Sus scrofa: one gene and its partner. The protein of the gene in region 2 interacts with the protein of the main gene of each other region in a biochemical or structural test. Links are inferred from orthologs where the notes say so. Each region holds a gene or a part of one and is shown on either strand. Other genes may lie near its edges.

Evidence for each region.
Region 1: the proteins of RAD18 (region 2) and UBE2A form a complex in vitro, tested with the Homo sapiens proteins (12 studies listed by BioGRID, with this or other methods). The link is inferred for Sus scrofa from reciprocal best matches to the Homo sapiens genes RAD18 and UBE2A.

Annotation. Positions count from the first base shown.
Region 1 is NC_010461.5:97,923,540-97,928,122, reverse strand, and holds the start of UBE2A (ubiquitin-conjugating enzyme E2 A), read right to left. Parts: upstream 2,988-4,583; 5' UTR 2,918-2,987; coding exon 2,915-2,917; intron 1-2,914. UniProt on the Homo sapiens protein: E2 ubiquitin-conjugating enzyme that accepts ubiquitin from the ubiquitin-activating enzyme E1 and transfers it to a E3 ubiquitin-protein ligase. In vitro catalyzes 'Lys-11', as well as 'Lys-48'-linked polyubiquitination.
Region 2 is NC_010455.5:65,356,187-65,360,665, forward strand, and holds the start of RAD18 (E3 ubiquitin-protein ligase RAD18), read right to left. Parts: upstream 2,878-4,479; coding exon 2,827-2,877; intron 1,349-2,826; coding exon 1,267-1,348; intron 1-1,266. UniProt on the Homo sapiens protein: E3 ubiquitin-protein ligase involved in postreplication repair of UV-damaged DNA. Postreplication repair functions in gap-filling of a daughter strand on replication of damaged DNA.

The DNA of each region.
Region 1 (4,583 bases), on a different chromosome or scaffold from region 2:
CCCTGACCTTCATTGCTAGGCTGAGCCCATTACGAGACTCAATTTTTACTAAGGGGCTCCAGAGACCTGACTATAATTGCAAAAGTGAAAGGAGATCTTTTGCTTCCAAAGGCCTCAGTGCATCACCTCTCCCCAGAAGCTTCTTTCCCCAGGGAGTCAAGTCACAAACTTGGTAAGCAGATCTCATGAATTCCTTGAAATACTACAAGAGCAAAGGGAACCCCAGCAATCACCCAGTGCCCCCGGGCAGGCCAGCAGGCAGTGGGGTCTTGGTGTGGGGTGCGAGGCCGAATGGATTCATTTTTGGCCTTTGTTCCCTTGGATAATGAGTGTGGTAAAGTAAGTGCTCTTAGAGTTCAGAATTATTACTCTCACCACATATTCCTCTGCAGTCCTTCCCCAATTGTCCTTTTCTTTCTTTACAACCTTTGCTTTGTGGGGGGGGGATTCATTTTCTCTAGGACATGTGGCACTTTCTTGCGACTGTTTTAGAGATCTGTAGGTCAGGGATCAATCCATTACATCAGTCTCCCATGGATGAAGTGAAAATCATTTAAAGCATTCCAATCAAACCATAACAGTTATAATAAATAGCAAAATTGTGTACTGTGGGTCCTGCATTGTTCTAAGCGCTTTGCCCACATTCACCCCTGGAATCTCCACACTAGTCTTTCGAGGTAGGTATTGTTGTACCTACCAGATGGGGAAACAGAGGCGCAAAGCAGTTAAGCAACAGTTGGATAGTCATCAAGTGAGAGAGTTTGGCTCCAAAAGGTCTCCTGAGCCATTCCCGAGCAGGAAGATGGGGAGCCGAGGGGAGTCCGGGACTGGTCACGCCTCTGCCCTGATTGACGGGGCTGCCTCCACATTCCTTCTAGTCCAGCTCCACCAGCAGGAGGCGATGCAGGTTTTGTGGGGGTAACAGTTTATGAGTAGGTAATTTGGGTGCCCTGTTTAAAAAAACCCAAAGGTATCTTCCTTCCAAAAATTTTGCAAAACTGGATGATCAAATGAATATGTTGCTACGGCACAGGCTGGCTCCGAGGCTGAGGCATCGTAAGGTTCACGGTACCTCTCTCTCTGCGTTGAGATGGCTCTGCTCCCTGCCCCGCAGGGCACTGGAGGCTCGTTTAGCCAGAAGAGTTTCCCTTTGCACTCCCAAACACGAGGCCCTCGGAAGCTGATCTGTCAGTAGCCATCCAACCTGTCAATAGCCAGCCAACCGACTTTGCCCCGGTTATGTCTTTACGGCCACAACCATCCCCGTTGTGGGAGTGAAAACATTAAAGACGGCGGAAACGTGTCAGGTGATTAGATAGAGCAATCTCGACATATGTAAATCTCGACAGTGCTAAATTTCCTCCCTGGGTTATGAAAGTTGCCCAGGGAAATGCAATCCGTTTTTCATTTGATGGACCATCAAAATGAGACTCCTCTTCGAGGGACAGTCATGGAAAAGCCAGGGATTAATACTCTTTTCATTTAACTCAGTTGTGTCTCCAAAGAGGGTACAGTGAAAGTACTGCCCAATCTGTTACTTGAACATTGTTTATATTTGTTGCTGGGATACCAAAGGCTCTTTTAAGCCTTTGGCTAAGGAGAGCACCATGCATCTGAACTTGTTCACCTGCACTTAAAGCAAATAATGGCTGAAATGATGGGAAAGCTCCTCCAAACATTTTGAGTGGAAAACAAGGCATTTTTTGTGTGTGTCCAGAAATTGCGGCATCCAATATTTGTTGTTCAAATAAATCTCCGCCTGCATACCGAAGTGCACATTACACATAATAAGACAAAGCTTTGAAAAGATAGATGTTAATTATTTTGAGATAAATCAGATTACCTTTGACCCAAACTCCACGCTGCAATTTTGTTGCTCAGCTTCTTGGTCCCGAAATTAATGTAAATCTTTACATTTGTAATTTTACTTGCCAACTCCAACCCACCCACACAGTCTGCAAATGACTGTTCTGAGTCAGAGACTATTCACTTACGACTGTGTTAGATATTTTAAAATGTTCTCAGGAAAGATTAAACCGCCTAATCCTGGTCCTTTCATAGATTCCACTTTATGTAAAAATGATGGAGTCAGAGAACCTCTAAACTGGAAGGGACTTTGGAGGAGAAACTAAGGCTCCGATATGGGAGGGGACTTGCCCCCAGGTCATTCGGTGACCAAAGCTAAAACTGCACAGGAAAAGACCTGGCTTCCTTTTAAGGTTTTAATAAAGGATCACACTTAGAAATCCTTGCTCAGAGTCCAGAAGCTGCCCCTTCCCCATCCTCCTGCCTCTGACAGCATCCGTGAGTCCTGGTACCCCACAGTCTGACACCGCTCTAAAACAAACATGCCATTTTGAATCCAAGCAGTCAGAATATGAATCAGATAAAAAACAAATCAGCTACTCTTACAACCCTATGCATCACATCGGCGGGGCGGGGGAGCGTGTGGCTAGACAAGAAACTGTTCCTAATGGTTATTTTTGAAGAGGGGGATCTGGGATGAGGGAAGGAGGACCAGGAGATGTTTGCTTTTCAGTTATATCTTTACTGTTCAACTTTGATTACTATGGATAGGTATTAACGGGTTGAAAACCTCAAAGACAAATTAGAAATATTATGCTCATAAACTTCACAGGAGAAAAGAAATTTACCCCAGGAACCCTGACGCTTGAAAATCTATTATCCGCTATAGCAGTACTTTACAATTGTTGTCGACCGAAGTATCCATAATGGCAGAGGAGGCTGAAAGGTACCCCCCGCCCCCGCCCTGGGTCTGAGGGCAGTGCCAGAAAACGGTCCCCGGTACATAAGAACTCTCTTTGCAGCTTTAAAACGCATTCAAACTGTGCAATAGACTCTCTAACATATCCACATCTCTTTTAATACGAAAATAATGGCTTAAATGACTTACCATCCACGACAACTGCCCCTGTGGGGAGACACCCTGGTTTCTTTCTCCAGCGGTCGGAGCACCGGGAGCACACTGCCTCCAGTGACTGAGCCGAGTGGCCCCTGGAATGGGGAGCGCGGCTGTGTGTGAGCTGACCTGTATTCCGGCTCTCTCACCTGGAATCAGGCTTCACGGATTCTATTAGGCATTGAATAGTAACAAAACAACGGCATAAATTAGGGGGTTGCTAAGATTGTGTACCATCAATGTTCGCATGAGCATAATGGACATAATGAATTCTATAGCACTATCCTGCACAGCTTGGAGAGATTAAAACCACTTTGTCTTTAAATTAAATTTCAAAAATCATTGAACAACAAGAATAGAAAGAAGAGAGAGAGGGAAAAAAAAAACCCTCATCTATGTCAGCCACCCAATTGTCAGAGGCACCACTTGCTTTCTGATCATTAATGCTCGGTCCTAGGTTTATTTTAATAGCTGCCAGCGCAGTGAGTCCACAGCTATTGTAATAACTATAAAGGGGGCTTGGGCTCTCTTGTACTGTGGTTTGCAGCCCTCAGTGGAGAGCCTCTTATCCCCTTTCAGGATCAAATTCTCTGCAAAAGACCGAAGCTGAAGTTTATTTTATATAAATGCTCCACAAAATAGTATGTCTAGGCTGTTGCAGAGAAAGAAAAGTGGGTTTGAATTCATTTTTGAGTAGTTCTCTGCTTGGGCAGATCTTCCTTCAACAAAATGGATGCTTAATTATGAAAAAATTCACAGAATTCACAGTAGGGTGCTTACTAGATGCCAGGCGCCACGATGATTGCTCTTCATGCTTTATGTTACTCAATTCTCACTCCCAACATCCCTAGGAAATAGGGCTAGCACATAAAATATCCCCATTTTACAGACGAGGAAACTGAGACCTGGGATTAAGTGACTCGCCCAACACCGTACAACTGAGCAAGCTGCGGAGTCAGGATTCAAATCCAGGTACTAAGATTTCTGGGAGTTGCCGTTGTGGCTCAGTGGGTTAAGGATCCGGTGTTGCCACAAGCTGCGGCATAGGTCACCTGCCAACGCGGCTCAGATCTCGCGTTGCTGTGGCTGTGGCATAGGCTGGCAGCTGCAGCTCCGATTGGACCCCTAGTCTGGGAACTTCCATATGCCGTAGGTGCAGCCCTAAAAAAACCCCCCAAAACCCAAAGATATCTGGAGCCCCTGAAATCTTACGTGTCTTAATAATTATTCTAGTTACCATTTATAAAGTGTTTATTATGTATGTTTTATGATAGATGATTTGCTTTTTTTTTTTTTTTTTTGCTTTTTAGGGTCTCACCCATGGCATATGGAAGTTTCCAGGCTAGGGGTCGAATCAGAGCTGCAGCTGCTGGCCTATGCCACAGCCACAGCAGTGTGGAATCTGAGCTGGGTGTGGGACCTACACCACAACTCACAGCAATGCCAGATCCTTAACCCACTGAGGCCAGGGATCGAACCAAAATCCTCATGGATACTAGTTGGGTTGGTTAAGCGCTGAGCCACAACAGGAGTTCCTACATAAATTCTTTAATCCTTGCAACAACCCTAGGAGGCAGGCATTATGATTATCTTCATTTTATAGAAGAGGAAAACGAGGCTTAGAGAAACTAAGTAACTTAGGGGCAGAATCCAGGCTTCTCTG
Region 2 (4,479 bases):
GACTATTCACAAAACCTTTTTTTTTTTTTTTTTTTTTTTGGCGCCACACATGTGGCATATGCAAGTTCCCACAGTAGGGGTCAAATCGAGCTACAGCTGCCAGCCACAGCAACGCAGGATCCGAGCCGTGTCTGTGACCTACACCACAGCTCATGGCAATGCTGGATCTCTAACCCACTGAGCAAGGCCAGGGATCGAACCCGCATCCTCATGGATACTAGTCAGATTTGTTTCCACTGCACCACAAAGAGAACTCCCACAAAACCATTTTTTAAGCCTAATTTTTTTTTTTAAACTTTCCAAGGTAAGACAAAAAAAAAAAAAAAAAAAGGAGTTCCCGTCGTGGCGCAGTGGTTAACGAATCCGACTAGGAACCATGAGGTTGTGGGTTCGGTCCCTGCCCTTGCTCAGTGGGTTAACGATCCGGCGTTACCGTGAGCTGTGGTGTAGGTTGCAGACGAGGCTCGGATCCTGCATTGCTGTGGCTCTGGCGTAGGCCGGTGGCTACAGCTCCGATTCGACCCCTAACCTAGGAATCTCCATATGCCGCGGGAGCGGCCCAAGAAATAGCAACAACAACAACAACAACAAAAAAAGACAAAAAAAAAAAAAAAAAAAAAACTTTCCAAGGTAAATCAACTGGAAAATAGATAATAAGGGAGATCCCAAGCCTAGATAATTCATAAACTGGAGGGCAGATCCTGAACAATGACAGGTGCACTCCTATGCACTACATATGTCAAGCTACAGTATAACAATATTTACATACTAGCCTCATAGAGAGAAGTATAGACTCAATATATGATTCTTTCCAGCATCACAGAGCAAGTTAAGTGATAATTCTGTCTGTAATACTCTTCAGTGGAAGAACTCTCCCACTGGGATTTTTTTTTAAACTTTAAATTCCATGCCAAGGACTACTTGGTTGAACCACCTATCTCTTATCCTGTTAAAAACAAAAATTCTGAAATTTAACATCTAGAAGTGTTGGATAAATAAACATACATAGTGATCAAAACCATTACTCTTGTAAATGTTACAAAGGGCATAAAAGCATTCAAGAGGGAAGTGGTAGAAAAACATCAGAGCCCATACAAAATATTTACTATTCAAGAGGGAGGTCATGGAAAAGACCTGAAAACTTCAAGACAGAGAAGCTAAATAAAAGTGAGAAATAAGTATGTGTACTAATTTTTGGTGTTAAATGAACACTACATTACATAAAAATCACACTTTTACTACCTCACAGAAGGAGTACATACTTACAGTTATGTGAACACTGAGGAATCATCATTGCAATGTTGAAATATTCAAAGCAAATTCCACACCGCAGCAAATCATCTACTGGCTGAAATGCAAAAATACGTATATGCCTATCAGAAAGCCACCAAGATTGGAACATCTGCCATAGATCTTTCTCCATCCCCTAAAAAAAAAAACTAATAATATTTCTTCATGCTAATAATAAAGATTTATTAATTTAATGCTTACCACATGCTAGATACCTTCAATCAACTAGCAAGTCATTTTTGAGCACCATTGTGTTTAGGCACAGTGAATAAGCCAGACAGCATCCCAATTCACACACATTTAATCAGCCTTATAAACTATTTATTTCTATTTCCAGTTTATAGATGAGGCAACTGAGGCTCAGAGAGGTTAGGTAACTGAATCAGGGTCACAGTTAAATATGAAGCAGAGAGCAAATTTAATCCAGAACCACTGGAACTCAAATCTGTGTTCTTCTCCACTGCACCACTGCGTCTTGGTGCCAAAGCCACCACAACTTTAAAACCACAGCTTTCCTAGATCCTTCCATGATGTCAGCTTTTCACCATAGGGCTATCTCAAGTCCCCAAGCAATAGAGATGACACTGGTGGCAGCAGGTAGAACATGGCCTTATACCTCCTTTAACCTCCCCCACGTTCCTTCACTTAATCCCTAGAGTCAGCCTTATGAGTCAGTGGAACAGACACCACAATCCTCAAATTTACCAAACTAAGGAACAGAAGAAGGTGATCCTGCTCACAATCGCAAAGAGAAACACAGAACAAGGAGAAAAACCAAGCAACTGATTGTAGCTAGCACAGCATAGTGTATTTGCTCTTAACCAAACATAGGAGAATCCAGAACTCACCACTATGGTAAATGGAAACTGGAATGCCTCGCCAAAAACAAAGTAGCCGCAAAAATCAGTGTTCTTTCAGTAAAATACTGCAATGAGATCAAAGGCTAGTGCTGGGCCCCAGTCCTGATTTCTTTGTTTAAAAGAGAGAGATGCACAACTATTAGGAGTCAGGACACATCAGAGAGGAATTAAGACAAATTAGCACTAGGCTTCTTGAAGGTAACTGGAAGAAATTAAAGAGAAATGTAAAGGAGACTACCTGCCTTGCTAAGCGATCAAGAGTTATCTGATGCAGGATTCACCCCAAATCACATACGGTGTCAGATTCTCAACTAAAGAACTGGGAGAGTTTACATAATGCATGGCACGTAGTAAGCCCTAAGAATTAGGTGTCACTGTTGTTTCCATTGTTTGGAGTAACTGCTTCCCTCCAGTTCTCTGTTACTGTTGTGGCTGACTCGGAGAATGATCGGTTCCATACGAAGGCCAACCTTGGATCACCATAATGGACCAAGGCTTATCCCCGGCACCTCCCAGGGGAGGAAACTGAAGTCCAAAGCCAAGCGGTTGGCAAGTGGCAGCGAAGAGCCAGGTACCCTGGCCCAGCTCGCCACTGGCGCCTCATCCTTTCTCCTCCTTAAGCCGGGGCTGGCCTCCTGCGGACGCCGGGCGCCCCCAACCCCCCCGAAACACTCACCTTCATGACTGCCAGCCCCGGAGGCCACCGTTGTTCGACCAAGGAGTCCATGGTCTCCCCTAAAAAAGCGGGGGGTATCCGCTACCCACTGGTCTCCAGTGCCCCACTGCCACTCGAAATTCCCCGCGCTACTGAGGTACGTCAGCATTTCGCGACGCGCCTGACACGCGAGCGGTGCCTGTTGGGAGTTGTAGTACGTGGGCGGAGCGCAGCCAAAGGTGCTCTCATTGCGCACGCGCGGGGTTTCCTCTTCGCCTCTCCACGACATCCGGTTTTGTACAGACACTTAATAAATAAATGCCTGTTGAATGTTGGGAAAAGATAGCCTGGCATCAAACGAAATCCAGGCCTTGCTAAACATTTCAAAGTCTAGGCTCACGCCCCCTCTTTCCAGTCACCTTCTCTGATTGCTATGACGATCTGTCCCTGCTGTGAGCCAGGGTTTTCAAATCCATTATTTCATCTCACCGCATCACAATACTAAGAGGTAAACATTATCGTTAGCTTTCACAAAAGTTCGCTTTGGCCCCCAAAAGTGAATAGTTTCCTTGAGTCACACGGTGTCTTTGACCAGACTACAAATAGGGCCTCTGGACTTTAAATAAGAGCTCTTTCATCAACTAGGATGGTTAACTATCTTAACTTTGGAGTGTAGCCTTCCAGGTAGTTCCTGTGCAGATACATAATTACAGTTTTTTTCCACGAATATTATTGTGGTAAATCATACTTTTGTCAATTTGAATTTTTCGGTTAACTTAGATTCCTCCTGAAACGGCTCCGTTTTATGGATTTATCTCATTCTTTTTAATAGCTACATTGTCCATCATACAGATTACTGAAATTTATGTATCCACTCCCATACTGAGGACACTTTACATTATTTCCAGTTTTTCGATATTGCAAAGAGTTGAAGTGAACATACTTACTATCTATGAAAATCTTGGCATATTTGAGCCAGAATATCTAGGGGATTTCTAGTAGATGGAATTACTAGGTTAATTTGTGTGCTGTTTTATCACTGTTATAGCTAGACTTTTCCAAAAAGGCTGTACCAGTATATTTAAACACTCACCAATCGAGTATGAGTGTCCATTACCCAAACATGAAGCACTGATCAGCACACTATCCAGTCTGTCTGTTCAACTCAGCACTGATCCCCTGCCTGATGTGGGCCTCCATCACATTAGGTTTCATGGGCAGCAAATCAGCACAGTTACATTGTTCAGGGAAGACCTCTGCGGCTTGTCACTGGCACCCCCACATAGTCCATGTACTCACTCCTTCAACAAATCTTTTTTTTTTTTTAAGTACTTACCATTGACCAGTCAGAGCTTCCCTGTAAAGTAGGCAGAAGTGAGATTGTTATTGCCATTTTACAGATGAAGACATGGAGGCTCAGAGAGGTTAATGCTTCACTCTTTCAGACTCTCTTCATAAGGAACTTCTGACCCATGAGGCAGAGATGTTTTCAATTGATTTTTCCTAACCTGTGCCCAAATCTCATTGGACAATAATAATATTAACGGCATTTGGACACAGAACTTTAACATCCATTACAGTAATAGCTGACACTTATTAGACCTTTGTATGCAGAGCACTGTTCTAGATTTTTTTTTCACATGTAGAATTATTTCAGACTCACTCCAACCAAAT